Linked DNA regions of Lytechinus pictus. The protein of the gene in region 2 purifies or fractionates together with the protein of the main gene of each other region. This does not show direct contact. Links are inferred from orthologs where the notes say so. Each region holds a gene or a part of one and is shown on either strand. Other genes may lie near its edges.

Evidence for each region.
Region 1: the proteins of coatomer subunit epsilon-like (region 2) and coatomer subunit beta'-like purify together in Homo sapiens (affinity purification with mass spectrometry; 4 studies listed by BioGRID and IntAct, with this or other methods). This does not show direct contact. The link is inferred for Lytechinus pictus from reciprocal best matches to the Homo sapiens genes COPE and COPB2.
Region 3: the proteins of coatomer subunit epsilon-like (region 2) and coatomer subunit delta-like purify together in Homo sapiens (affinity purification with mass spectrometry; 4 studies listed by BioGRID and IntAct, with this or other methods). This does not show direct contact. The link is inferred for Lytechinus pictus from reciprocal best matches to the Homo sapiens genes COPE and ARCN1.
Region 4: the proteins of coatomer subunit epsilon-like (region 2) and phosphatidylinositol-3-phosphatase SAC1-B-like purify together in Homo sapiens (affinity purification with mass spectrometry; 4 studies listed by BioGRID and IntAct, with this or other methods). This does not show direct contact. The link is inferred for Lytechinus pictus from reciprocal best matches to the Homo sapiens genes COPE and SACM1L.

The regions. Positions count from the first base shown.
Region 1 is NC_087258.1:18,199,497-18,207,464, forward strand, and holds the start of coatomer subunit beta'-like, read right to left. Parts: upstream 3,018-7,968; coding exon 3,006-3,017; intron 2,572-3,005; coding exon 2,485-2,571; intron 2,069-2,484; coding exon 1,942-2,068; intron 1,054-1,941; coding exon 905-1,053; intron 1-904. UniProt on the Homo sapiens protein: The coatomer is a cytosolic protein complex that binds to dilysine motifs and reversibly associates with Golgi non-clathrin-coated vesicles, which further mediate biosynthetic protein transport from the ER, via the Golgi up to the trans Golgi network.
Region 2 is NC_087249.1:9,540,507-9,548,408, reverse strand, and holds the start of coatomer subunit epsilon-like, read right to left. Parts: upstream 3,005-7,902; 5' UTR 2,695-3,004; coding exon 2,593-2,694; intron 1-2,592. UniProt on the Homo sapiens protein: The coatomer is a cytosolic protein complex that binds to dilysine motifs and reversibly associates with Golgi non-clathrin-coated vesicles, which further mediate biosynthetic protein transport from the ER, via the Golgi up to the trans Golgi network.
Region 3 is NC_087252.1:32,345,653-32,353,207, reverse strand, and holds the start of coatomer subunit delta-like, read right to left. Parts: upstream 3,005-7,555; 5' UTR 2,895-3,004; coding exon 2,892-2,894; intron 1-2,891. Other genes in the region: porphobilinogen deaminase-like, read left to right, coding at 3,420-3,467, 6,881-6,953. UniProt on the Homo sapiens protein: Component of the coatomer, a cytosolic protein complex that binds to dilysine motifs and reversibly associates with Golgi non-clathrin-coated vesicles, which further mediate biosynthetic protein transport from the ER, via the Golgi up to the trans Golgi network.
Region 4 is NC_087246.1:55,294,445-55,302,347, forward strand, and holds the start of phosphatidylinositol-3-phosphatase SAC1-B-like, read left to right. Parts: upstream 1-4,903; 5' UTR 4,904-5,094; intron 5,095-7,903.

The DNA.
Region 1 (7,968 bases), on a different chromosome or scaffold from region 2:
CATACCTGTGGTATTACCCAAGGATTCTTTGAACCAAGTGTGATAAAAATTGGTGCAGAAATAAAGAAATGAGAGCAAGTCAAACAGAAACTTGAAAAAGGATGGATATGACCTCACATCTTTTGACCCCTAGATGCCCTTTGACTCGCATCATCCTCATGGATACACATCTGGTATTATCGAAGGATCATATGTACCAAGTCTGAACACAATTGATGCCGAAATAAAGAAATGAGGGCAAATCAAACAAAAATATTTTTGTAGCAGACTAATGAATTGAATTGATAACTTTATTATCCCCTGACGGGAAATTTACCTTTCACTGGAGCATTACAAATGCTTACAAGGAAATGAAGTTTACAAATGAGATGACAAATATGAATAAATCAACAAGTCAGCAGGAATAATAAACTTAATTTAAACATAGGGTTTACATGGTCAATGTCTTGTAACAGTAATTATAACTTTCGAATAGAGATTAAAGTATAAAGAATCAAGAATCCGGGCATACATTCATTCAGTGGCTAATTATCAAATTGATCAGTATCTTTGTGCAGTAGCGTTGAAGAGGTTTGGGGTGAAAGATTGTCTCGTCCTTGCTCGAGCAGATCTCGGTACGCAAAGGCGGAAACCCGACCTATTGTAGTTATAGTTAACACGGAGTGGATGGGTGGGGTCATTCATGATTCTTTTTACTTTAGCCACTACCCTTTCCTCATATAGAATGGTCATCGAATCTAAATTATTGCATCCAATTATACGTTGGGCTACTCTCCTCGTTCTGTCTAGCTTTTTTATATCTACCGACAGACTGACAGGAAAAGTGGCTACTAGGTCTCTGCCGAACTTTGTTCAGGCGAGACAAAAAGACAAGAAAATATGAATTGCTGAGTATGGCTCTTACCTTGACTGTTCTGTCCAGTGAGGCGCTGGCGAATGTGTTGTTATCCTTGGGATTGAAGACTATCTGCATCACATAGTGGGTGTGTCCCTCAAAAACTTGAGTACACTGCCACTTACGATCCCAGTCCCACAGCTTGATAAGCATGTCATCTGCAAATGGAAGAACAATTTTATAACATTTAGAGAAAGAAAATTGGGCAGGACTGCATTCAAAGTGGAACTATTAGAAGTACTCGGTGTCAAACCTGGTGGGTGTTCATAAAGCTGCTCGTAAGTTAAGAGCGACTTTAGGAATGACTGGTGATCCTTTCTAATGGTACATAGTATATTCAATGGCGATGGTATAGCGCGTAAGAAAGGATCACCAGTCGTTCTTAACTTACGAACAGCTTTATTAAACAGCCCCAGGGCCCAATGGGTGTTGGAATAGCTCTTGCTTGGGGCGGTCCTCTCACAGCATTAAATAATTAATTAATTGGTTTAGATTCAGTGCCACTGTTTTTGCAATGAACTTCAGATTTGTTTGGGTTTAGTACCATTATGTATTGTGGTTGTGTGATTTTGTACCATACAATTTTTAATGCCATAATTTTGTAATTATTCATTTATAATATATATTTTGTATAACAACAGCCAGAATATGATTTTCCTGCCAAAATCTTAATTCATTTTACTTGAGCATGACAATAAGTGTTGAATATCTGCATATCTTTGGAAAGTATTCATTTCTTTTGAACCACCAGGTTGTTTTAGCAACATAATGTCATTGGTTGTCTGACAGATTCTTGGATATGGCAACCTTCCTTGGTGTTGATTGGCTGAGCACAATAATATGCAATAATGTACACAGCTTCCCTAGTTTGGGGTATCTCCAAATAATCAATGAATCTTTGATTAGAGTGTGCAAATTTAGGACATCTGCTCAAAATCTGATAGTGGCTACGTACATGTAAGTGGCTATATTTATAAGTAGCCACTATTATTATCATTATTGTTATTGCTATTATTAAAATTGAAGAATAGTAATGACTGACTTACCGCTACTGGTTAGAATGTACGGCTGGATCGGGTGTATGCCTATACTCCTGATGTAATCTGAGTGAGCCTCAAACATATGAACTCTCTCAAGGGTGTTATAGTTGAATACTTTCACTTGCATGTCATCCTGGGCAAAGCAAACAAAGATGGAATGTAATGTTCCATACAAACTCAAGAGGCCAAATGAATGAAATACCCCCAAAATCACACACAAATTCTTCTAAAATTCAGGAGCTGACAATTTTGTCACCAATACATATTTTCTCTTAGCCAACAAGATATTATACAACTTTATGTTCATTAATTGTTATCTTTTCAAATTAACAATTCACAATGTTTGGATAACCAACTAAGAATTGATGAGGATAAGTGGAGATTATCTTATTCAAATACAAGTTGCCTTTAAAATAATTCTATTCATTTTTCCTAAAAATGATTATGATAACTGTTCCTCTTCTAATAAATACTTAAATACTTGCGCAGGGTGATTATCGTTGAAAATAATTTAGATGAGCATCAATAAAAATAAAAATAAGGACTTACTGATCCAGTGATGACCCAGTTCTTGCGAGCGACAAACCTGGCAGCTCTGACTGGTAGATCACAGACCTCAAATGACTTGACAAGGGTCTGTAGCAAGAAGAAATTATAGTGGTAATTGGCAAGAGTGAATCAAATACAGCAAAGTGATACATGTATTCATCTAGAAATGTCAAATAATTGAATAGTGGGCTTTTTTTTACACTCATGTCGGTAAGGTGTGATAATCATTTTCATCATCATCACCATATTTATCATCATCATCCTCCTCATCATCATCACTATCATCTTCATCATCATCCTCCTCATCATTATCCTCCTCATCATCAATATCATCACCATCATCTTCATCATCATCATCATCATCATCCTCCTCCTCATCATCATCATCATCATCCTCCTCATCATCATCAATATCATCATCATCTTCATCATCATCCTCATCCCCCTCCTCCTTTATCATCATCCTCATTGGACATTTGCTTTCCAAACATGAGGTTTACAAACTGGTATATTTGACTTACTGCAATTATCATATTTTAGTTTGTGTCATCCATTATTATTAATATAAATTATGTTTTAAAGGTATAGTGTATGATTGGTTGATCTCAGACAAGGTCAGTGAATCAATTGTAAAGATATTATTTTCATTAAATATCTATATCAATGCTCTACTTTATCACTCAAAAGAAATTGGTATAACTCTTCTGTTTTCATGATATTTAGGGGTGAAATATATATTATAATATATCGTTTAACCGATATATTTTGTTTCCGCCCTCTCGAGTTAACAAATAAATTGATATTAGAACACCGTTCGAATCATGCATATTCATTACAACCTCATGCATATTGATGAAATACGTCATGGCGCATGCGCCGTATCAAGAAATCCCCGTATCAACAAAGTGCAGCGCTGTGTGCAGAAGTAGCTGAGTAGAAGCAAACACCGAATGTTGCGTGCAAGCTCAATGAGCCGATGCTAGCCGGCTAGCGATTAGTCCACGTCCTGGACGATTTTTATTGATTGGGCAAACCAAGGGCAAACCTTATCGGACCGTACCGGTACCCCCACGCGCACACATAACCAACACACACACGCCCTCCACTGATTCACTTACCCCCAGTGATTCACCTAACCCACTGATTCACTTTCCCCGAAAAAAAATGTTGTTTCGTGTGACTATTCAGGGGGTGTGTGTATGCGTGTTATGGGGATGTAGTGTGTTGTGTTTGGTAGTCGTATCGTACAAAATACCAACAGTCCAGGAGGTGGACTAGCCAGCGATATGCTTGCGCTCTGCATGCACGTTTACTTTAGACATAATCCACTATTAGCGATAGCACACACTGGACAAGCATATTATATGGAGCTATAGCTCCATGATTGTATCGTACGTGAATAAGGATTCAGACACTTTGATTATCGAACGTAAATGACGAAGCAAAGGATTGCCCAATACGGCTTACTTTCGGAATCTAATGTCATGAATCTGAAAGTACTCCAAGACTAAAAGAGATACGAGAATCCCAAAGAAGGGCAAGGGCCGAGTTTGATTTGACGGCCACCTCGCTCTTTGCGCTCGCATCAATATTGTTAGGTAGTAGATGACAATCAGAGATATCTATGATGACAATCCTGTTCATGATTACCAAAAGTGCTTAGAATGTCAGAATTTTAGTTCAGAATATCAATCACTTTTTAAGCCCAAGTGATTGATATTCTGACCTAGAATTTTGTCATCTAATTTTAACTAAACAATATTGAAGCGAGCGCAAAGAGCGAGATGAAAAATTTTCATATGTATATATATATAGACGGCCATCCCCATTCTGTCTAGGGCCGAGTATGAAGAAAGGGAAGGGCGAAGAGAAAAACGATTATTTTCAGGGCGGGATACAAAATAGTAAAACATAAAAGGAAGATAAAAGTTGATGGGACCATGGAGGACACACAGTATTGACATGAAAGTAGGATTATTCTTCGTTGTTTAGACTGAACTTGCGAGGTCAAAAGGTGAGCTGAGAAACCTGTTGATGCGAAGTATGTAGCGTAGTCTACATCGTGTAGACCGTGATAGTGTGTGTATGCGACCATAATGCATCAAATTGCAAATTTAGAATACAGTGTTATTTGGTCAATCTTTACAAGCAGAGCAGAGGCGTCATGAGCGAAAGCAAAAAAATTAGGGGGGGGGGTAGACGTAAGGGGCAAGATTTCTCAGAAAACTCTTATTCTTGCAGCCACACAAGAAAGCTTGTAGCTAGATGTGGAGTAATGAGAAGTTGAGTATATTCAATATTGCGCGGCGCTATGGTCTATGGTAGAACCGTTGCGCTCTAGGTATGCAGAGGGGTGAATTTCGGAGCCGACCCCGGGGGCCGACCGGCATGTTTTACAACAGAACTTTACAAGTCATGCCGTTTGAAACAGGGCAACGAAGTACGTGAAAGAAGACTAAGCAAACTTGGAGAAGCAACGTCCGAGGGGATAGTAATTTACGTCTGCTTTGAAACGTGTATCAATAAGGATTTCCAGAGAATGGGTCGCAGAGTATTTCTCCAGTATGGGGAGGGTGGGGGTAGCCTATAGGCCTAATCAATCCATCAGTGGATGGATGGATGGATGACTGAAATAATGAATAGATGGATGAATAGGCATATATATGAATGGATCATCCGATGAATGTATAGGCCTAACCCCAAGAACAGGAAGAATGGATGGACAAAGACAAATGGATACCAATGACGAATAATAGATAGGGGCGCCCCATGGGAGCTGTTGTTGAATGGGCTACCCCTTATCAAATAAACAATAAACAATTAAAAATAGATGGAAAGATGAACTTTATTGCAACAAATGAGAGGAAGATAGGCCTCCGGGATACACGCATACAGTGTGTGCACGAGCAGTTCAACTGTTGAAAAAATGTGAATGGTGCGTGGCGACGTGAGCAGGACAAAGACATCACTCACTTCTTGATTGGCATAACGTAGACTTATTTAGCAATGAAAGTGGAACCGGGAATTGGGACTCCCATTTTCCTGCTAATAAATATAGGAAAAACGAATGATAACTGTTGTTTTATAGCCGAGGAAATGTATTCTTCATATTGGGATTGGGACCAAGGAGACCCCGGCGTGTCAAAATTTCACAACTCATGGGGAAAATAATATAATAATCATTTTTGATGATTGAAAAAAAATGTGCTCAGTTCACACTGTCACGATTTTTTTTTTGGTGGGGTTACCTGCAGAAAAAAAATTGACAAAGCAAAAGAAAAACATCGTTGGTCATTCCATACATTTCTCAAATTTGACACCTATCAGAATTCCAGGGGGTGCTGCCCATGGAAAATAATACATGCCGCATCCCCAGCCCCCCCCTCCCCCCTCCCCCGCTTCCAAGAGGCATATAATCGCGGAGTAATTAATCGTATCAGAAAGTATCAGATCAGTCAAGGCGATCGTATTGATCGTAGAAAGTGTTGGAATATGGTTCAACTATTTTGGAGATCAGTTATGAAAGGCCAATCGTGCATGGTGTTCGTGACGGATTGCACTATTGTAGGAATAAGAATATTTTGGGGCGGGAAAGTCGCCTACTTCCAAGCGGTGATGACTTTCGGGGAAAAAAAAATCTGTTTTTGAAATTTTTGGGCAAGCCCATTCTGGCGAGGTTCAATGGGTATACGCCTATTCTGATGTATTTAATTTATGGTGATGTGATGCAAATATGTTGCCGATAAAAATATAATATTTTGCCTTTATGGGTGATTTACCCGGGTGTTTTACAACTCACAGGGGGGGGGGGGTCAAGGAGAATACAGTAATAGCTCTGAATACTGACTGAGAGACACTCCGATCTGCAAAAGTGAAGGCAAAGCTGTCATGGGGCAAGCAAACAAGTAATACTTTCTTGAATAGGCATACCATAATAAAGTTTGTGAGAATAATATTGAAATAAAGAGAAAATAACATTGAGAATGCGAACATAAGGAATACACACAACCTAAGGTTAGGAAGTGTATAAACAGCGAAAAATACAGAAAGATGTTATGAACATGCTTTCACTATTCATGAATGTATAATGCAATGATAAAGGGAAAATGTTTTAAGTTGAATTTAATTTTAACCAGTGGCGTAAATAATGAACATAACAAATATGAAGGGGCCAGATATACATATAGGGCACAAATCTTGATTTTTTTTTGTAATCTATGATAGATTTTGACATGATATTCAGATAATAGTTTCCCTTCTCTCTTTCCTTTTTTTTCTTGGCCGTGACAAATTTGGGAATCCATACAGCCCCAAGCCTTATTTTGAACGCCACTGATTTCAACTGAATATCATCAGAAAAATATTTACAAGGTAGTCAAGTGGCAGCCGACGCAGCGTGTAAAAACAGTATGAATTTCATTGTATGATAATAATAAAATGATAAATAATGTCATGTGTGGTTAGCGGAAACGAGGATAGGACGTTTTGTAATTCGCTATGCAGTAAAATAATGAGAATGACTGAAACGATATATATTCAAAATATAAATTTAATGAGAGAGAAACGATTCAAACAATAACAGTATAATATTATGTTGCGTTCAAATTCCCTTTTGATCGTTCTTTTGATTCCCTTTCAACAATCTATTTCTTTCTTCCTTTCTTCTCTCTCCTCCTTCCCTTTAGGATGGAGGGGGTATCGGATATAAGGAAGCAGTTTAGGTGTTATGGCACACGACAAGTTCAATTCAGTGGCCTAGTACTAGTAGGTCCATTGGTAAATTGCCAATTCGTCAACTGCCAACTCATCCATTCACCATGCACATGGTCTACTTTCATTTAGTCCATGCAATGCCAATCCGTCCATCAACATTTCATCGAACAACCATTTGGTCCAGTTAGTCCAGTATCCAATTCATTTTCATTCATTTTGCACAATAACACGTCCAATAACCAAATTGTATATGGACTAAATGACTATTGGATCAGATGGTTATTAGACGGAATGCATGCATGTGGATAGTGAACGAACTGATGGTAGACCAAATAATGATAGTAGACGAGTTGGCATTTGGACGAGTTGGCATTTGGACGAGTTGGCATCACGACGAAATGGAAGTAAACCGATCCGATCCATGGACTAGCGCCTAGTATCACGCCGGTATAGATAAGGAGGTCCAGGATCCAGGATCCATGATTGAGCCCGACTATTTTGGCGCCCCTGTGAACTTTTCGGAAAATGGCACCCCGACCCGCCCAGCACGGCAATCATAGGTGCCTTAAATGCAGTTTGAATTATCGTATTTCATAATCACGTGAAAAAGGCATCGAAGACCACTTTTTAATGTGTTCATGAAAAAAAAACATCCATGAATATGTTTTAACCACCTTTTGAAAAAAATAAATGCGACCAGAAAGCACAGAATTTTAAGCATTTTTGGGTTTCTATTTAGTTCAACTTCTCATCAGAGTGGTAGACCATACT
Region 2 (7,902 bases):
AAGTTTTATCCCATGTACATGATTTAGAGCTAGATCTTTTAGAAGGAAAGTAGAAATCTCGGGGGTGAAAGTTTCAGGTTTTGGCTTCCTTTGTGTGGGTCTATGAGGTAGAAGTCCTGGCTTCGTATGAGAGTAACCTTACGTTAGTAAATGATTTTTACTCTCTAGAAGCCGCCTGGCTAGTCAGAAGCCCATTTGTTTTGTGTGTGGATGACAACAAAAATCCTTATCAAAACAAAAGTAGACGGTGAAAAGGGGTAATTTTACATGAGGAATCTGCCTATCACATTTTTATTTGCCGCCAAGGTAATTTTGCAGCAAATGTAAACAAAGGAAATTGGTCTCCCAAACTGGAGTGGAGACTCAGACTGTCTCTGAAATTGGATACCCAAATTATTTACAAAAGTCTCTGATATTGGAGCTAATCTCTCTCTTGGGAGACAGTTTCCCATATTGGCCGTGCGCCTCTACTGATATGATATAGGCCTAGGCCTATTTTATTTTTAACATTTATTTTAACTTAAAATGGCTTCCCGAAACCACTCTAGGCGACACCCCAATACTTACCCGTGCTAATAAACTGGGACTCCACTCACGCGCGTTTGGGCCTCCCTAGCTTAGAACTAAGCACTAATATCACCTTAAAAACTAAATCTACAAGGTATGTATAATCTATTTATAAATTTAATAATGTTTAATCGGTACTCACCGGTTCTTTTGTTGCATTTTCAGACCATTTCTCACAATTCTTCGTAAATATTTGCGGCAAATTTTGTCGCCATAGACAGCTTAGCGTCCATCTTTATTGATAAATGGAGCGCCCTTTACGATAGTTGTTAATGCCGCGGAGAAATCGTTAGGCATTTTGGCCTGTGTTCAAGGCGTTCTTTCTGTTTTATTTTTATATTGAAGATTGTGCATTTGTTGAATAGCGCCGTCTACGTCAGGTATGAGATCGAGTGTATAAATACACTCTTCCAAAATAATTATGATTCCGACCTGGCGCTGTTTAACTTCAATCTCTTTCACCTAAATTAGCGATGAATGCTAGCATTATAAAATATATATTATTAACGTCTGACGAAAAGAATAACCAACCGATCAGCTGACGAGAACGCGAATCACGTGATCTTCATATCAGCTTCGATCGCGAGTCAGAAGAGAAGAGCAGTTGCCCAGAAAATCAGGAAAAAGCCGTGAAAATGTAAGTTCCCCTTCATTTCTTTCAATTTTTTTTATTGCTAACAATGTATTCAATTAGTGAGATCGAAATGTAATGATTAGACAGTACGATAGCTTGTAGTTTTGATAAAATACAAAAATAATCATCTTCACAAAGATTTCTGACACAAAATACTACTGATGTCGCCTATGAGGTCCATACATGTAATGTTGGACCTCATTGGTACTAGGAGTGCCCGACACTCCTAGTACCAATGAGGTCCAACATTACATGTATGGACCTCATAGGCGACATCAGTAGTATTTTGTGTCAGAAATCTTTGTGAAGATGATTATTTTTGTATTTTATCAAAACTACAAGCTATCGTACTGTCTAATCATTACATTTCGATCTCACTAATTGAATACATTGTTAGCAATAAAAAAAATTGAAAGAAATGAAGGGGAACTTACATTTTCACGGCTTTTTCCTGATTTTCTGGGCAACTGCTCCTCTCTTCTGACTCGCGATCGAAGCTGATATGAAGATCACGTGATTCGCGTTCTCGTCAGCTGATCGGTTGGTTATTCTTTTCGTCAGACGTTAATAATATATATTTTATAATGCTAGCATTCATCGCTAATTTAGGTGAAAGAGATTGAAGTTAAACAGCGCCAGGTCGGAATCATAATTATTTTGGAAGAGTTTATTTATACACTCGATCTCATACCTGACGTAGACGGCGCTATTCAACAAATGCACAATCTTCAATATAAAAATAAAACAGAAAGAACGCCTTGAACACAGGCCAAAATGCCTAACGATTTCTCCGCGGCATTAACAACTATCGTAAAGGGCGCTCCATTTATCAATAAAGATGGACGCTAAGCTGTCTATGGCGACAAAATTTGCCGCAAATATTTACGAAGAATTGTGAGAAATGGTCTGAAAATGCAACAAAAGAACCGGTGAGTACCGATTAAACATTATTAAATTTATAAATAGATTATACATACCTTGTAGATTTAGGTTTTAAGGTGATATTAGTGCTTAGTTCTAAGCTAGGGAGGCCCAAACGCGCGTGAGTGGAGTCCCAGTTTATTAGCACGGGTAAGTATTGGGGTGTCGCCTAGAGTGGTGCCCGAAACTGTTTTTGCATTTGCCCCCTTTCCTTTTTATTCCCGTGAAATGGCTTTCACGCGACAGACGCTATTTGCGATAAATTCTATAGCTTGCCATCGTAGCCGCTAGAGTATATTTCATTTTATGATGCACAGAAAGCAATTTTTTGGAACTGTTTGTTTGTAAAACAAACCATCATCTGGCAGCATCCAGATGCAACATAAAATGTATTGCATGGGACCGTACAACAAAATTATTCTTGCAATCTTTCCAATTAATTTGATGCACATCGCATCTAATGACTTTACCTTTAACTTTTGGGCTTCGTTGATACACTGTTGAAAGCTTCCAATGTAAAATGAGTTCCTCACTTCAAATAATTCGTCCACATCATCATTCTTTGGTGCCATTTTGGAGATAAATTTAGCTCAATTCACAGAACCTCAGGCTTCACAGACACGTCACTTTGCAAGTAGTCTTTGTCAAGGATCTAATACAAAAGAATTACTGCACGCAAATTCTTTTTCATTAATTTATTTCATTTCCGATTCATTTCCAAGAATACAATGATGATATTGAATATCAATACTTTGAAAACCATCATCAATACAATCAGAAGACAAAGAAAATACACACGCACAAAAAAGAGAAAGAACGTCAGTTAATGCCTGGGGCCGGGTATCAAAAAGAAAATGGGTTGGGATTGGTGTTGGGATTGGTGTTGGGGTTGGCTGGCGGGTTCGGGTTTAAGACCGCACTTTTTCTTGAATTATGTTTTTTAATTGCTTTTCTAACCGTTTTCCTCTGCCATTTTTGCCTGGCGCTGGTAAAATGACAGGACTGAAATTTCAGAATATTTGAAATGCATCTGCCGACTGCAGTATTTATTTATGGCAAATTCATTATAGCGCTACTTGCAGTCTGTCCAAAATGCCACCCCGATCCCTTTCTTTTCTCCTTTTCTCTCCCTCGCTCTTCACTTCCTTTTCTCTCTCTTCTTCCTCTCCCTTCCCTATTTTTCCTTCTCTTTTTCACTTCTTCCTTTTCTCTTCCTCTCCTCTTAATCACCTTTTTTTTCTTTCCCCTCTCCCTTCATTTTTTCTTTCTCCTAGCTTTCCTCTTCCTTCCCGCTCTTTTCCTCCTCTCTCCCCCATTCTTTTACCCTTCCTTTCTTTCCTCTCCCTTTCTCCTTCTCTATTTTTTGGTCTCTCTTTCCTTCGATCTTTTCTCTCATCTCTCCCTTCTTTTTTAAATTTTCCCTCTCCTTTAATTCCTTTCCATCTCTTTTCTTTACCCTCTTCCCTTCATTCCCCTTCCTTTTCTTTTCCCTCTCCCTTTCCCTTCCGTTTCTCTTTCACCTCCTATTCTTTCCCATCTCCCCTTCTTTCATTATCCTTCTCTTTTTCCTCCCCCCCCCCTTCCCTTATTCTCTTTCCTTTCTCCCTTTTCTTCTCCTCTCTTTTATTTTTTTTGGGGGAGAGGAGGGTGCATCGGTTATCATGAAAATCTTATCAGGGTTGAATTTAAGCAAGCATCTGTTAAGACATCGCACAGAGGCTACCACCCATGGTTTTATGATCTCATTGGAAACTTCCACCCCCTTTCCTATACCCGCTCTCCGCCAGGTCACAGTCTATTATAAAGACAGGACTTATCTCTATCCCACTCTATAAGGCATTATGTCTTTTTCACTCTCTCTTGCCAATACCCAGCTGATCGTGTAGTCATTGTGACATAAAATAGATGAGTCTTTACTCAGGAATATCTCATTGATAAATGTCCATAATCCACAAGAATTCAGGAAGAGATACACGAATGTCTTAGAAAAAAAGTGTAGAAAGATTTATTTACAAATTCAGAATGATACATTTCTGTCATGTTTATATCAAGATTTTACTTTAAAAGAGGACGAAACCCTTGAGACTGACCAGTTGACTTCAAATAGATCAATAAATGTGTGAGGAAGATTGAATGAATAATTAGTTAAAAATATGGGCATCTGAATATTCAGATCAGTAACACTATGTAGATCTTCCCATGGGCATTGCGACCAAGATCTGTGACGTCACACACGTACAACTTCCCCATTACTTTAATACATATTTCACTTAAATTTTCTCTTTTATCAATTCTTTGCAAGATAAGGTGTTCTTTTTTATGAGGGCATGTAATAATGGTTCACAACAATGTATCATGGATGAATTGTTTGTCATATCAATAGAATGAGCAAAAAAGAGATGTTTTGGGGTATATTTTTAGTGTCCAAGGGGGAGAGTTTTACATGTGTGACATCACAGATCTATCACCTTTTTCACATTGCCAATTAGAGGATCTCAATAACATTAGTGATCTTTACATTCAAATGCTTATATAACTTTCTTATCGCTTGACCAATCTTACTCAAAACTTTTGATGATCTTATTCTTTGATCTATGCCCCGTCTTACAAAGAGTTATGTTTGATCCAATCAATTGTAACTCTATGGAAATCCATCAGTGTCATCATTTGTTCTACAGGAAATTTGCAAGATATCCTTTGTAAACAAAGGAGCACACACAAAATTGTCAAGAAATCAATGAATTTATAGATATACATTTGTATCTAGAATTTTTTTTAACAAACATGTATTTTATATGTTGACTTCGCTGGCTTTCCATAGTTGCGATTGATCGGATCAATCACAACTCTTTGTAAGACAGGCACCTTGTTTCATATAAGCTAACCTGCTCCAAGGGTTTCATTCTCCTTTAAAACAATGTTTCCATTGAATTATAACCCTTCTTCTAGAAAATGAAACACAGGTAAAGAGTCTAACAATACAGGTACATAAGCCATCCATGGAGCAAGGTTTGAAATTGTACCCTTAAATATTTCTTTACTTATCACCAGAACAAGATATTTTGACCTTTGACCTTGTGATCCACAATGCTAATCAGAAGCCCGTTCATAAAACTTGTTATAATAACAAATTTGCAATAAAAGTTATAGACTACTATGATCTTTCAATCTGATTGGTTGATTGTACATTCATTAGAGATATAGTGCATTTGTTATTGTAACAGGTCTTTGTGAAACGGGACGCTGATCATCGCATCAATATCCATACAAGAGCAAAGTTTGAAGTTGATGGTCCTTTGGCCACTGCTCTTTGGCCTGTGACCTGTGACTCTGACCTCGGTATACTAAAATATAATCAGATCATCATAGCCGAATGAAAGCCAATTTGAAGTTGATCCCTACAACTGTCTATATCACAAGATATGTAGATGTATCTGTGATCTCTGACCTTGCCAACTCTTTGACCTTTGACATTGATACCTCGAAACTGAGCAGGTCACTGTCACTCCTGAATGTATCTGCATAGTTGGACGAAGTTTATCAAATAATTCGTGAATTTTCATAAGAAAAAAGATGGGATGAACAGATGTAAACCCAAAACCATGGTGCCTCCATCAACACCTATGGTGGACAGAGGCATTATAAATCTTTATTTGCTTTAAAAGTCTTAACTAGAACATCATTTCCTTTGGAAAATATGCCTTTAAGAGATGCCAACCAGTAGGATTTTTGCATGAGTAAAGGACAGTAGGAGTTGTATCAATGAAATAAGACGTTTCTGAATTCCGATGTGTGTTATGTGCGCTACAATAATAATAATCACTAGATTTTAATTCGTCATGCGGACGAATTAGGTGGTCTGTCATGATTTTTCATTCATTGTCGGCTAATGTTGTATAAAATGAATCCCGGGAATGAATCATTCAGATATGATTGATAATCTTGATCATAGACATCAAAGGAATAAATTTTGACCATTGCTAAATGTGATTATAAATGTAGTGATGACAATCGTGATGATTATAATGATGGTGGTGATAATGCAATATGTTAAATACGAAATAAAGTTAGGAGCACGTAAAATGCCGGCTTAAAAACTCTCCAAAAATCTCAGACGATTTTACCGAAATTGGCTTTCCAAAATTGCGCAATGAAAGGCGCCTTAATTTTCACAGCAGCTAATTTTTAATCGACAGTTTGATGTTTTTTATGCAAATTCTTGTTAAAAATTCTTTGTACTTTGAGCATTTTTTTTATTAATTTCACCCACTGACATTTCACAATGTCAGTGGGTATTAATTTCACAGAATACTTGAAAATTCATAGGTGATACTTTTTAAAAGCTAAAATATCTTAAATATTTTTGTTCAAATTTTCTGCTACATTTCAATAGATTTTAATGAGAAGTTTCATAATGCTATAATTTCACAGCATTCACCTCAAAACTCATGAGTGATGTATTTGATAAAAGAACCAGATTTTTTTGTAAATGTTTGCCAAATTTCTGAAAATTTTTAAACATTTCAAATAATATTTTCCGTCAAAAATTTTCAATATCCATTTATTAATTGTGTATGACTTTGACATTTACTTGAAAATTCTTTCTTGATGATTTTTACTGAAAAAAAGTCAGGTAAAAGATTCAAATACTGGCAATTTTCCCGCAAAATTTCGGGAACATGTGTAATTAACTAAATTGCACAATTTTTTCATTTCACAGAAGGTACCTGAAAATTTGTTATATGTTATATTAAGTAAAAATGAACAAACAGAAAAAAATCCAGGAATTTCCGCAAAATGTCCGGAATGAAAATTTTCAACCAAATAGCGTTTAAATATTGCAGCGTTTACTAAAAAATACATAAATGATGTTTTACAATGTTAAAATTGCCCCTTAAAAAGTTCCGGCAAAATTACAAAAATTGTCCTACATAAAAAAATGCAAGGCAAGTGGGCTTGAAATTTTCAGGAAGACTGTACAATTGGTTAATAAAACATTTCTCTAAAGAATTTCTCAAAAATTACGTCCAGAAAAAATTTGCAAAAATTTAAACACATCATAACACATTGATGCTGTGGTCAAAAGTCAAAATTATTCACACGTTATTTGTAGAGAATTGTCTTCACTATACGATATCAAAATTTGGAAGAAAACTGACCAGTAAAAACGAAGATACGGTCAAGTCATTGACGTTTGTTGCGGAAATATGTAATTTTCACTAATAACTTAAAATTGACGTAATTACAAAATCTCCAAATGAAATATTGAATATATAAAAGAGTGAGAAAAAATTTGGGGTCAACGGACTCCCTGAAGAGCTACAGTGAATTTTATATAGGCATATTTTAGCCCATTTACGCGCGCGTAATGCAAATTTGAATGGACGCGCATTCCCGTATTATTGGTCGTAAGAGGCTGAATGAGGTATCAAATTAATCAGAAGATAATGAACAATGGAAAGACATGAAAGAAATGATGACTCGAAGATGCATAACGATGGTAGGTGCAAGAACGCGCACGCATACCTGTGCGCGCGCAAATTCTTGACATGCTCAAAATGACCAGAAACGTACCCAAACTTGACCACGGTCGATTTGGGGAAATTTAAAATTTTGACGCGCGCGTACGTGCGCGTCGTGACCTTTGCATGACCTCTGATGATATGTCCTGATGACCTGTCACCTGAACTTGATATGATGCAAATATGGATGATTTTTGATGATTAGTTGCGATGATATGATCAATCATTTAATTTTACAAAATGGCGCCTAGATGACGT
Region 3 (7,555 bases), on a different chromosome or scaffold from region 2:
CCTAATTTTCTGTCTTTCTGACCAGCACAGCGCCTCTGGCTCTGCTGTTCAAGTGATCTGGTGTTTAGCCTGGAACTTGGAAGCACAAACTAGATCATATCTGAATCCTATCCTACTAGTACTACCAACATGTCCAAAACCTATTTTGACGGACAATGACATGAGTCGATCATGACCGAGTTAAAACAACGACAACGTTAGAAAAAATATTGACAACTCAAGTGGCCTCAACACCGACATAACCGAGTGACATTTCGGGACTTATCAACTTCAACATGTTTGGTGGGCATCATTTGGTGTTAATCTGTTGTGCTCATGTAAAAACTTACCTCCTATAACTAAGGCTCCTAACACATTAACACGTAAACACCGTCAAGGCAAAACAATAGGTGCCCCAACAACACGGTATTTTATAGATGGCAAATATAGCGATCTTCAACGCTTATATATAAGCGTCGAAATTTGTAGCCATCTCCTTGTATTAGTCTATAATATACGACGTGTCAAATTGTAGCGAACTAGTTCGCTATTTCCAGATCTCCTCTATATATATATATACGAGGGGGAATTGTAGCGAACTAGTTCGCTATTTTCCAGATCTCCTCTATATATATATATACGAGGGGGAATTGTAGCGAACTAGTTCGCTATTTTCTAGATCTCCTCTATATACAAACGACGGGAAATTGTAGCGAACTAGTTCGCTATTTTTCGGATCTCCTCGATATATATACACGAGGGGGAATTGTAGCGAACTAGTTCGCTATTTTCCAGATCTCCTCTAGATACATACTACGGGATTTGTAGCGAACTAGTTCGCTATTTTTCGGATTTCCTCTATATATATATATACGACGGGAAATTGTAGCGAACTAGTTCGCTATTTTCCAGATCTCCTCTATATATATATACGACGGGAAATTGTAGCGAACTAGTTCGCTATTTTTCGGATCTCTTCTTTTGTAGCGAACTAGTTCGCTATTTTTCGGATCTCCTCTATATACGACAGAAAATTGTAGCGAACTAGTTCGCTATTTTTCGGATCTCCTCGATATATACACGAGGGGGAATTGTAGCAAACTAGTTCGCTATTTTCCAGATCTCCTCTATATACAAACGACGGGAAATTGTAGCGAACTAGTTCGCTATTTTCTAGATCTCCTCTATATACAAACGACGGGAAATTGTAGCGAACTAGTTCGCTATTTTTCGGATCTCCTCGATATATATACACGAGGGGGAATTGTAGCGAACTAGTTCGCTATTTTCCAGATCTCCTCTAGATACATACTACGGGATTTGTAGCGAACTAGTTCGCTATTTTTCGGATTTCCTCTATATATATATATACGACGGGAAATTGTAGCGAACTAGTTCGCTATTTTCCAGATCTCCTCTATATATATATACGACGGGAAATTGTAGCGAACTAGTTCGCTATTTTTCGGATCTCTTCTTTTGTAGCGAACTAGTTCGCTATTTTTCGGATCTCCTCTATATACGACAGAAAATTGTAGCGAACTAGTTCGCTATTTTTCGGATCTCCTCGATATATACACGAGGGGGAATTGTAGCGAACTAGTTCGCTATTTTTCGGATCTCCTCTATAAAATTTTATACACGAGGAGGAATTAGTGAACTAGTTCGCTATTTTTCTAATCTTTATATATACAAGAGACGGAATTGTAGCGAACTAGTTCGCTACAATTCCCCCTCGTGTATATAATTTTATAGAGGAGATCCGAAAAGTAGCGAACTAGTTAGCTACAAATCCCGTCGTATGGATATAGAGGAGATCTGGAAAATAGCGAACTGGTTCGCTACAATTCCCCCTCGTATATATATATAGAGGAGATCTGGAAAATAGCGAACTAGTCTGCTACAATTTGACAATATGGCATCAATATATACAGCCAAAACCTGCAGATTTTCACTTTGAAGCCTTCACAATAATGTAAGCTTTGGAAAAAAATGACAACTAGTTCGCTACAATTTCCCCCTCGTGTATATGAAGAGATCAGAAAAATTGCCAACTAGTTCGCTACAGTTTGCCATGTTTATATTTTAGAGAGGAGATGAGAAATGGCGAACTAGTTTGCAACAATTTCCTGTCGTATACATGTAGAGGAGATCCGAAAAATAGCGAACTAGTTTGCTACAATTCCCCCCCTGGTGTATATATAGAGGAGATCAAAAAAAATAGCGAACTAGTTCGCTACAATGCCCCCTCGTATATAGTTCGCTACAAATCCCGTCGTATGTATATAGAGGAGATCTGGAAAAATAAAAAAATAGCGAACTAGTTCGCTACAATTCCCCCTCGTGTACATATCGAGGAGATCCGAAAAATAGCGAACTAGTTCGCTACAAATCCCTGGTGTATATATAGAGGAGATCTGGAAAATAGCGAACTAGTTCGCTACAATTCCCCTTGTGTATATATCGAGGAGATCCGAAAAATAGCGAACTAGTTCGCTACAATTTCCCGTCGTTTGTATATAGAGGAGATCTGGAAAATAGCGAACTAGTTCGCTACAATTCCCCCTCGTATATATATATATAGAGGAGATCTGGAAATGGCGAACTAGTTCGCTACAATTTGACACGTCGTATATTATAGACTAATACAAGGAGATGGCTACAAATTTCGACGCTTATATATAAGCGTTGAAGATCGCTATATTTGCCATCTTATTATTTCCCCCAACAACACCACTGATCACTTATTCACTGCACTGCACTCACACTGTGTCTGTCACTTTTTTTGTCAGCAAGATTTTTAATTTAAAAAAGTTATCAAGGCTTGATTATTTAGCTTGTAAGAGACATTTCAATAAACGATAAACACCATTTATTTACTACTAATGAAATTATAGCTAACAATATCATACCATCTTCTTATTCAGTATGCTCTTCGAATAAAACGGCAATTTCACTGTCTTCTGTGGGATTTTCTCAGGATTTTCGCTACACAGTCGTAAGATTAAGACGGGCCACGTCCGTGTGATGTGGAGTTTGAGACGGATAACGCCCGTGGCGGAAGAATATTTTTTAATTGTGGACTTTTCTTTCTCATTCAAGAGAACAGTAATCACTTTCACTGATTGAATTATCCCTAAATCTTGTAAAATTTATTTGAATGAAGGTTTTCATGTGTTTCAATTGTACAAAATATAATTTCAACCAATACACAGCACTATATTTTTGCTCTAAAATTGTACACATATAATGGGCTCAACTTCCGGGTTGAAGGTCATTTGCATTTCACGTGTAGTTAAAGTCTTTCGCGAGCAGCTAGCAGTACAGAGCAGTGACGCAGACGGTCCGAAAACGTAGTTTTAATTTTACTAGAAGACTTCGGTTCACGGAGATTGGGAGTTTCTCATAGTGATAATAAGCATCGTCGTCTTTTCGAAAGTATGGCTAGTCAAGTGGAAGTTATTCGCATAGGCTCGAGAAAGAGCGAGGTAAATGCCTCTGGGGAACCGAAGGATTTTTGTTCGGTCCCATACGTGTTTGGTTGTGTATTGTGTTTATCGAATTTCTTCCTCTTGTCTTGACAATTGACAGCGCAGCTCAGCGATGCCGCGCCGATGAGGTGACACGCCCACTCCTGGCCGGTGTAGCGGCGGATTCGGTTCCACCGGCGGATACCGTATCCGCCGGCAGATATCGTTCTTAATGGCCGATATCGTTTTTAATCGGAACCATATCCGCCGGGTTTGACGCGGCTTGAAGTTTGCAGATTTGGTTCTATTGACGATACGTGTAATATTTATTTGGACAGACGTCCAACCTCGGCAGCGCGCGCATGCGCGGCTCTGGCAATGTCGTTACCAATGGGGGGAGGGGATTTTCGTCCGCCTTTAGACTTTTAGTGAATTTTTATTCAGGGCCGGATCCATAAAGCTTTTGACGAAGGGCTCGATGGGGGTGAGGGAATAGGAGAAACAATGACTCGATATATCATGTATACATAGACCTGGCACATGCGCCAAAACTTTGCTATTTATTATTATCAGATTTTGATGAAATTTTCATCATTTTGTTTTGTAGGCCCTACGTGAAAATTTATACTACTTTAAGTCCGCAGTATGCATCGAAATCTTTAACTGTGCTTTTTCACACCATGATTAGTGTAAGTTTGCCAGACTGGCGAAAATTTGTACCCCCATATAGGCCTATAGTTTTTATAAAACTACAGATTTTCAACGAGTTAAAACTTCATAATTTCAAAATAAATGAGGCAAATTAGTTTATGAATATATATTGCTGTTAACTCATATTATTGCTTGTAGAGTGCTGATTTTTTGTGAAAACATTTAAAAAAAAAGAATTTCAAAACATGATTAATATCTTATGTAGTTTATTGTAGGCCTATTTTTAATTTGTTTTTTTTTTATTCCTTTTTTTTCAATATTTTTGTTAAGGAATCTGAATTAAAGGGATGGTCCGGGCTGAAAATATTTATATCTTAATACATAGAGTAGAATTCACTGAGCAAAATGCAGAAAATTTCATCAAGATCGGATAACAAATAATAAAGTTATTGAAGTTTAAAGTTAAGCAATATTTTGTGAAAACAGTCATCATGAATATTCATTAGTTGGGCTGATGATGTCACATCCCCATTTTCCGTTTTCTTATGTTATCACACAAAACCATATTTTTTTCATTTATTTCATACTTGTGTGAATAATATGTCTCCCTTATAATGAAATAAGTTGCAGCAATAAATATCTAATGCACTAAATCAGTTGTCAATCCAAATTTTCTAGTTCTTGGAGGAAAAAATTTGAATAAACCTAATTTCATATAATAAATTACAAAAGAACAAGTGGAGATGTGACATCATCAGTCCACCTAATGGATATTCATGACGTAACAGGCGGGGGGGGGGGGGGAGTTGCCCCCTGTCGGATTTAACCAGGAATAAAAGAAAAACGGGAAAGGAAAAAAAAGGAGGGAGAAAGAAAGGGAAAGGGGAATGAGGGGAAAAGGAAAGGAAAAAGTGAAAAGAAAACGAAGAAAAAAACCCTTTTTAATGGAAAAGGAAGGAAATCGGGAAAATGAACATTTGAGAAAGAACAAATCATTCCAAAACAGGCATATGTAATGCAATAGCACGATGGGAAATAAATTAAAAGATGACAAAATGGCAAACAATAGCGCGAAACGAAGGTAAAATGCAATTAGTCAAAAGCTAATTTTTGGAAAACAAAGAAAAGGGACAAGAAAAAAAAAATAACACGACCGGGCTTCCGATGATTGAAATTAAAGAGCGGGAAGAAAGATGGACTGCATATAACATTGTGCTATAAGCTAGCCAAATTTTATGTAAATAAGCTACCGGGGCTTTGCCCCAGACCCCACACAGTAGGGGCTCTTCATTTATACTGAACCTCAAATTGCTCTATAACGCTTCCCGTTCACAATCACGTTCAATTACTGCACATGCGCCGGGGGGGGGGGGGGGGGGTCTTGGTTCCACACCCAAGAGAAATAAAATAAATTAAAGGAGACAAGGTATAATGAAATGAATGGAAACAATGAAATTTGTTAGTTGCTGAATCTAATGGAAAAATCAATTATATAATTAGAATTTAATTTCAAAAGGCTTTTTTTTCCAGCTCGATCGCTTTGCGACTTTTTACAGATTTTTCCCACATTACTATGTTTTGCCCCTCAAAATATTTGGTTCATTACGCAACTGGGTTGAATAAATGTGTTGTGTAAAAGCTATATCCTGTACATGCCCGCGATTTGATTAAAATAGCGGCAATCTGCGAGGTTTAAATGGCTTTGATATCAAGAAATTCCGGACCCCAACCGCACAGCACTGCGTATGGAAGGGTTGGGCTATGGTCCCAAAAAGTTCTACAAACAAGAACAAAAAGAAAGGAGGAAAGAAAAGCAAAGGAAAAGTGTAGAATATGATTTTATTTACTGAATATAATGCCAAAAAATAGCTCAAAGTTAGATTCTTCTTTGTGCAAACTTAATCTCTGATTAACGTCAGTCTGAGTCTGACTCTGTCCCTAATCATCAGAATAAAGGCAAAATGTTGAGGCTTTCCTCTTCAAGGCCTAATGTAACTAGAATCCGAAAGGTAGCTGGCTCTCAATTAGACTAAGGCTAACCCACCTCTTCTTCGAACTTCATTTCGCAACGTTATTCACGCGCGGTGCGCGTGCATGCATGACGTGTGAACGTGATGAATGAAGGATATCGCGATAGCGCAAGAACGATATCTTCCGAATCTTCTGAAGGGAGTGGCCTTTTTTGGTACTGAATCCGCCGGAGGAGAACCATATCCGCCGGCGGATTTGGTGCCTAGAACAGTATCTGCCAGGCGCAGGATCCGCCGGTACACCGGCACCCCTGGGCCTGGTAAGCCTGGCCCTGGCCTGGACCTGGATCTAGACACAGCGTAGTTTTGTGATGATATATTTTTTTTTATTATATATCAATTATCATTGACATTGCCGGACATCTTTATTTCACTGTGCTTTAATTCAAAAATGACAACTAACTTGTTAGAGGAAATACATTCTGGAAAAATTCGCACGTGCTATTCCAAAATATTGTGGAAATTATGAATATCATAAAATTATTTTATATTAACCAACCATTTTTCTTTGCATCGCAATTGCCGCATACCCTTCAAGAAAAACATTACGTGACTATATATTATATAGTCACGTATTGTTTTTCTTGAAATCACTTTTACTTAATTTTATTAAAAAATAATTTGAGTTCAATCACATGGTTCCAAAATTGCATCCTAAGTTCCCATTGCAAAATTATTCTAAATCAAAAAGCTGAGAAGAAACTGATGAGTGATAAGGGGTTCATTTCTTATCTATTACTTTTTTTTCAGTTGGCCATGATACAAACCAATCATGTTGTGGAACTGTTGCAGAAAGTTCATCCAGATGTGGAATTCAAGATTGGTAAATAAAAAAAATTGTGTTTTTTCCTCAGATTTTGAGGGGTTAATGCCAAGACAATCCAAGTTTTTCATGACCATATTATTATTGATATTGAGTTGAAAAATGAGACTGTATGCAACAAATTTGGCCATGGGGCTGTGATGTTGCTACAATTGTTCTACAATTGAAAATTGTTCATTCGCCACCCTTTTTGCATTAGAAAAAACAAAAACCCAACTTGTGAATTGCAACCCATTATTATTTCTTTCAATGACGAATAAATACTTATTTTTTGTTAAAATGAAGTCACTAAATAATTGTTATTTACATTTAACATTACTATCAATGGTGAATAATCCATATAATTGTTTGAAATGATTTTGATCAGTTTTTTTTTCTCTTCCTCTCATTATAGTGATGATTTCAATTAGATTTTTATGAATAAATAAGAACTAACTGATGATGATGAACCTGGCATTGTCACAGAATTTGGATTTAAGTTAACGCTATTTTCATGAGAAGCTCTGGATTTTTTTTCTTCAAATGTTGAAGAGCTACAATGTAGCTACTACAACCCAAAAAGAAATATTGCCAAAGCTGCCATTCTAAACATATAATATGAG
Region 4 (7,903 bases), on a different chromosome or scaffold from region 2:
TCATGTTTGTTGCTGTTTATGCTGTTAGATATATATATTTTTTAAATATAGGATTCTTGATACAAGTGGAGCGCCTCTTGCAGTCTCGCCTGCATGCCTCGATTCAATATAGCAGCAGTGCTGACTTTGAAAACGACTACAAAATAATCATTCACAAAAAACACCACTCATATAATAGTATAATACTACATTAATTGACCCTAAATGACATTTGACCTTGATCAAGTGACCTAAGATTTGTGCAAGATGAGCAATGATACTTAATTACCCCTATGTCCACATTTCATTAACTATATCCATAAACTTTTAAGGTTATGGCAATTCAACAATTACCCCCTACATGGCCAAAGTTCATTGACTTTAAATTACCTTTGACCTTGATCATGTGACCTGAAACTCGCACGGAATGTTTAGTGATATTTTATTAATCTTATGTTCAGGTTTTATGGACTAGCTCCATATATACTTTCTAAGTTATGATGACAGGCAGGATGTTTAGCAATATTTGATCACCCTTAATATGTCCAAGTTTAACGAATAGGTGTTTTTTTTTATTTTTTTTTAAATAAGATGACATAGGGAGACAGTGAGTATTTGAAGATAGTGAATATTCATAAACAATGTAATTTGTAATACAATCACTTTAGTTTTACTTTATTAGTCTTTTTTTCAATAGTCTAATAAAGTCCCATCCGAATCCCTTAAACTCTATGTTGGTATCATCCATTGTAAGCACTTTGAAAGAGTACGATTCTGGAACAATCTTTGATATCGATAACGATCAATTCATTTTTACGTTGTATTTTTTGTTAAAGGCAATTTTTAGTTTCATCCCTGGGCGATGGGATCTGAAACTTTACTACCAAATAGTATTTAATTGTGTTTTAATATTGAAATCAAAGTCTTTAGGCATATTTCATGAAATTAGTCATATTATGCAGATTATTTGCAGATAGTGAATTGATGACATGCTCACAATGTTTCCGACGTCTTTGTTAAAAAAAAATAATTATTTATCATAACTGCTTGCATGAGCATTATTCTTTCAGATCGGAGATAAGAATGTTACTTATATAAGCATTATAGACCTATCTGGCTGTGAACCATGATTATCTATGAAGAAACAAAGAAGTTTTTTCTTTTTCTTATGTAATCCCCCCCCCCCTCTCCCTACTTTTCTTTCTTTCTTTTTATCTCTCTCCCCCTCTATCTCAGTATGTCTCTCCATCCCTCAATCTTTCTCTTTCTCTCTTGTCTTTCTCTTTCTCTGAACTCTCAACACATCATGGCGTCGCATCACCTGTTGCCACTCCGCTTCCTGCTGTTGCCATTGCCATGGTAACGATGACTTGCTCCATTCCTCGTTTCCAAGCCCTTGTATGTCGCAGTTTAAAAAAAAAGGAGCAGATCTATCGCTTCGTTCTAACCAAAAGCGACAGAAAATACCGGCCTGTTTTGAGATGATCGCTCAATGACCCACGAATACAATAGCCGCACCCCGTCCATTGTGTTCTTCCCGATAAAACCGGGTATTTAAAAATGTCTCCTCCACACCTGACTAGCCACCGATCAAAGAAATGAGCAGCGCTGTCTTTCAAAGATGCTGAAGGGATGTACAATAGTATTCTCCTCGGATATAGAGACGAGGAGGAGGGGTGGTGGAAAGGGCTAGTTATCTTCGGGGGCTATTATAATGGAGAAGTTAATTAAAGAACGCTGGTGTGTATAGAGCATGAGTTCTCTTAACACACAGCTGAAGACGACAGACTTTGATGTGCGTTGTGGTTGAAGACATGACATGAGAAAAGACATTAAATCAGCAAGATTAATGGAAGGGTTATCTAAACTTCTATGCCAATGACAAAACTATCCACCACCAGCATTAGAATCAGTTTCAGTAATAATCAAAATTGGACAAAACACCGTGATTATCATAGATGATGAGTCCGGTAGACAAATATCAGGAGCTGAGAAATTATAGTCTGTATCCCACTCCTGACACCAAAAATGTAGTCAACGATCAAGTTTAATTCAGCTGAAGAAATTACTGTGTGGTTTTCATTGCCTTCAGTTATTTTTAAAGGAATGTGAAAGGGACATGCCTATAATGCCATAATACCGGAAACACGTTGATATTGATCTAAAGGGGTCCGTGCACGTTCAGTATAACCAACAAAAATGAACAAAAAAAATCATGAAATTAATATAAATAAAGAAAAGTTGCTTAAATCATGGGGGGGGGGGGGGGTAAACATGAAAAGCAAACGAGGGGGAAAAAACTATAAGACCTAGTGGCAGATCCAGGAATCCGAAATACCCGTGTCCCATCCCTGTGGGGAAGTGTGCATATTTGAAAAACGACTCCGAAAATGAGCATAAAAATGGAGCCCTTTCTTTGGTTTTTAAAGGAGTATGACGGGAGTGAAACACACGCATGTATATATTTTATTTAGCTTGCCCAAAAAAGAAAATTATATACGGGAACATGCTCCTTATAAAGTTGATAACTTTCCCACGGTTATTTTTTTTTTTTTTGGGGGGGGGGCTTGTCGCAGAATTAAAAAAAAGACGGTTCCACGTATACCATTGATCAGTCCATCATCTGTCGCTGATGAGACCAGCATAATTATAACATAGCTCAAAACCTACGCATGAGTGCCCACACATTATTTTTTTAATATGTGACAAGCTACCCCAAAACCAACAAAAGGTCGCCAGAGAAGGTTCTCTGTATTAGCCAGAATAGTAATTTGGTCTTTATAAAAACAAAAATTGAAAGAAAAAAACACAGCTTATCTCAAAGAGTAATTCTTCTTCTGTATAATGCCAAAATGTCAAGTTGTATAGAGTTGAATATAAAACAAGGTACAAGAGTTTCTGTGGCACAAGTTTTTTGGGGAATGCTTGGAAATTTCACTCAGATTGCAGTGGGCCCTGAACTTCTAAGTTATTTTTGAAGCTCTCGCCTTGTTTCTTCTCCATACGATCAAGTATAATAGTGTGGGTTGTTGTTGACCAATTTTGACAAGTTAGTTATAAAGCTTATTGCTTATTTTCATCTCATAAAAAATAAAAACTAATTTTGGGCGACTTTGGTTTAATAAACACGATAAATACATTTCAATTTTTCTTCGTTATAAAACAATTTGGTTTGATTTTGTTGTCTATAAACATGTGGAATTGCGTTTTGTAACCCATATGACGTAATATGATATTTTATCAATATTTTCCTTATGTCATATCAATAAAATAAAAACAATTACAAAAGTAAATAAACGGTGTGTGATGTTCTTTCAATAATAATTGATGCATATCTGACCGTGTTGTCTTCTTTAATGTAACTGCTTTGAGAAAATAAGGTAAACTTGAAAATGGTATATCTACAGCCGCTTTTTAAGAAATTTTAGTCAACTTGTTGTGTTCAAGGTGGTGGTTGACTTGAACTTCAGCATAATATGACAACGATATGATTTGTTTTATAATTTCCTAGGTTCACTGTTTTATATAACATTCTATTTCAAAATTCATAATGCCCCTTGTACATCCATTTGTATTTACCGAATGACACTTAGAGGGTGCATACTTTTCTGTATCTTCTCCTCCCGCGGATTTTATATAATTTACAGCTTTTCCCGGTTTTCATAAATAAATAAATCGCACAATTCACTTGTCATTCTCACTCTGATTCCATTTTAAAAAATGAAGGAAAAAATGAAATGAAATTTTTCTTTATATAACTTTTTAAAAATCGCTGAAAGTATATACATTTGGAGGTTTTTCATAAAAAAAAATTTAGATGAATTTTTTAAATTATTAAATAAAATAAATCATCATTTTGGTACCGAGAAATTCAGTGACAAGCAACAACAAAAAGTTCACTATAAAATGAAGGTAATTTGGGGTTGCTAGGTCCTTTACTTTTTTTTTTACCTGGCAGCCCCAGCCCCCCCCCCCCCCCCTTCCGTTGGTCCGCCACTGGGAATCGTCGAACCGCATTTCAGGACAGGGACTCACTCGACCGTAAACTGCTATTGTTGTATTTTGGTATTTATATGTTTCACTATAGGTAATTAACAACAAAATATATTTAAAATTCGATACCATTATTAATCATAACGTCTCATCCTAGATCTATTTTAGCTCAATACTGCTGATTCTCCATAAAACAATATTGTCTACGCGATCAAATTCACATTTTCTCTTCATTTTGAATCAAGAAAATAAAGAAAGGATTTGATAATTTTGGCGGGATGTTGCAATCCATGATCCCCATCGATCGAAATTAACATTCTCATGCGGCAGTCACATAATCAAGACTAATACCAAACCAACCGATACCCGTACATTGAATAACGTAATAGGCTCGTAGCTCTGATCGTTCTGGAGTCGGTTTCGTTGTTGTGACTGTGCGGGATTATCTTCGAGATGACCTCAAACAGGCTAAAACAAAAGGTGAGAGAGTTTAGAAACCATCGGAGAGGGCATCGAGTAAACGACCAGATAATTGGTAGATGGGTCTGTTAGGATGCGATAGCAATCACCTCTCCTCCACATGTTATAACCCAAAACAAAGGAAGTTGAGAAAGAGGAGGATCACCGAGGTAAAAGAGCAACCGGAAGTCACGCACCTACCTCTATTGTTTATGGATATCACAAACTTCCTGCATCATTTCTATGCATCACAGAATGATTGTACGTACGAGTTCAGAATGCGAGATTTTATAGAAGGAAATTAATCTCTCCTGTATTGACTCAATATCATTCAAAGAGAGTTCTTCCATGGATCCTACTAGAAGTTCCATGCTGTACTATTCTGACCCCCCCCCCCCTTATGGCCATGCATGATGTAACACATTACGACATACTGTAACAAGTAAAGTCATCATTACAACAAACGTTTTCTGCATAAGATCGCATACATCCCATGGGATGTGTTAAAAAATTGTCTCTCTGAAATTTTGTCAAGACCAAGTCTGGGGATCGGGCTTTCCAGAAAGCTGCACCATAGCAGCACAGTGGAATTCTCTCCCGCCAATTTTACGAAATATTACCCAACTTGAGCAAAAAACCCACCTCCTTCGCTTCAGAGATAAAGTAAGTTATATGTTCAAAGTATGTTTGATATTCTTTGATGTTTATAATTACTGGCGGTTCCAGGAAGGGGGGCACAGCCGGCCCATGCCCCCCCCCCTTGAGAGACACAATTTAAAATTTGTAATGTAAAAATGCCGTTAAAACAGAAGTGTGGCCCCCTTTTGAAAGCGAAGACCTTTTTTTTTTGCTTGTCAATTTTTTCGTGGACGAAATCCCCTTATTTTTTTAGTTAAAACCCCCCTTTTAGGGGGGGGGGCTTGTCAAAATTTTCCTCCCTTTTCGAAAACTCCTGGATCCGATTGTTATATTCAGCTTTTCCTGAGAGACCCTTAGGTGCTATACGCGTCCATCCCAGAAGAACTGTTATTATCATAAGATGTGGAATTATTTTTGAGAAAAAAAAATCCTAAACGTGAAAACTTGTAAACGTTTGCCATAATTTCCATTGTAGAATAAAAGGTTTAATCATTCAATTTCTTGCAGTTAAATCGGTACAATCGATCGGTATGTATATAGCTGTAACCAAAGCTACGCCTACGACCGTTTACCAGTTTGATTATACCCCTGAGAATGAGCATGTTTTATAATAATCTCAACTATTTTACGATATTTGGATACTATACATTTTTTATTGGTCGATGAAACTATTAAACGACGTGAAATGTTTAGCTCTTACATCTCTTCCCTATGATAACATCCGTTGTATTGACCTCATCATGTTTTGTCATCTCCGTTTCTATACCACGTTCTTTATCCACTTTTACGTAAATATGCACGGTACTTATGCATGATCATTGCTCGAATTATGATGAACATTTTTTAACAACATGTAAACAGGCATGTAAACTCCCTCAGAAATAATATGTCCATTTATACAGCGCAGTTACTATGTGCATATACTCAACTGCGCTTTGATACATGGTATCATACCCCGGCTGTAGCTGAGCCGCCATATTAATAAAGCATTCAATGAAAAATCTTACCGGATACTCATTCACCTCACCTGGGTCGAGTGCAGCACAATGTGGATAAAGTTCTTGACAAAGGAAATTACGCCATGGCTGGTATTCGAACCCACGACCCTCTGTTTCGAAGTCCGGAGACTAATCCACTGCATGGGCCTAAATGCTCCACAATATAAATACACAATATTGATCATGCCTCAGAGGTATAGTGGCGCTACAAGGGGGCAAAGTAATTAATAAAACACTCATGTCTACTAATTATTCTGAGGAAAGGATTGACTGCCCTCGATCTTTCAAATAAAAAAAAAATCTGTGAAGTGGGGGGGGGGGGGGGTGAGAAAACATGGAAACGTGTGTCTTGGTCATTATTTTGAGAAAACAAATCAAACTTACATACAACTCCCGTGGCATGCTTACAGAATGATGAAAAATGAATTGTTTTAATCATAACTTGGACAAAAACTTAATTTTATTTTTGTTATCCTCCATGGGAAGTTTTTTTTTTTTTTTTTTCGTAGTGAAAATTCTGCAAATTATCAATGGCAAAGAAAACCAAAATACGGTACCACAAGAATAGCTTCAATATTTCTATTTATTCGACCTTATCCACCCTTGGCCTATTAAATCCTTATGTGGGCTAAAAATGGCTGGCCGAAATGGATCGTAATGCTCTAATAATCAACTGTTATAGACCGGTCTGGGACGGCCTCGTGTTGTTAATTAATACAATAATGGTGATGACCGTCTCCAAAATCATCATCACCACCACCACCACCACCACCTCCACCACCTCCACCACCTCCACCACCACCACCACCACCATCATCATCATCATCACCATAAAAATCATAATTGTATTACTACGATGGCAATTATACAGTAATGTTTGTCCTTGCACGCGGTCATTGAATTGAATTGTTTTTCATAATTGCTTGGCGGATGCAAATAACAAGACCGGTGGATTTTTAACCGAGTGGTTTGGGATCTCAAAAAGGAGGAAGGTTTTTTGATAGAGCTGAGAAGATACTGGTCCTTGAAAATGTGTCCTCCCTACACCACACCGTTATTAATATATTTGCCTACTTTTAGCCTATCACGGACGAGTCCCTGTGCAGAGCGAAGAGAGAGGGCGCCTGTATAGTATTTCATATACAGGGACACTAATTTCATTACGACCGTATCATCACGATTGCTGGACCTACACCCCGTTTTATTTATTTATTTTTTTAATTTTTACAATTTTGATCTGCTAAGTTTCGAACTTTATTTTACATCCGAATCAATAATTTCCCCCATTTATTTTGAATCATTTTTAATCGCTGGTACCACAATCTTTAGTTTGCAATTTACTTCTAACTCGGAACACACTACGGAACAAGTTCCGGGAACAAGTTCCGGGAACAAGTTCAATCACAGTTTCCTCTTCGCTTTTAATTCGCTTTTATGAATGAAATAAAATAGAGAAAACTCCGAATGAAAAAGAAAAACAAAGTTTCTTATGCTTATTGTTAAAATTCATATTCTGTATAGCTATTTTCCTAATACAATAGGCCTACTTTTCTACATTACATTTTTGGAAAACTTTCATTTATCTGAGCATGCAGACGATAACAATAATCTGCATTAATTTTATTGTTTCAGGCTGGAAAATTCCCAAATCTGCTGCCGAATCGTATGTATTTATAAAGTTTACAAACTGCATGTCTTATTAACTTTATTTTGTGGGACTTCTCCTTCATCATGTGTGTTAAAAACATATGAGTGGCCGTTTCAAGAAAATCAACATTTTGACGTACGTAGGCCTATACCAATTATAATTGTAATACAGTGACAGATACCAAGTG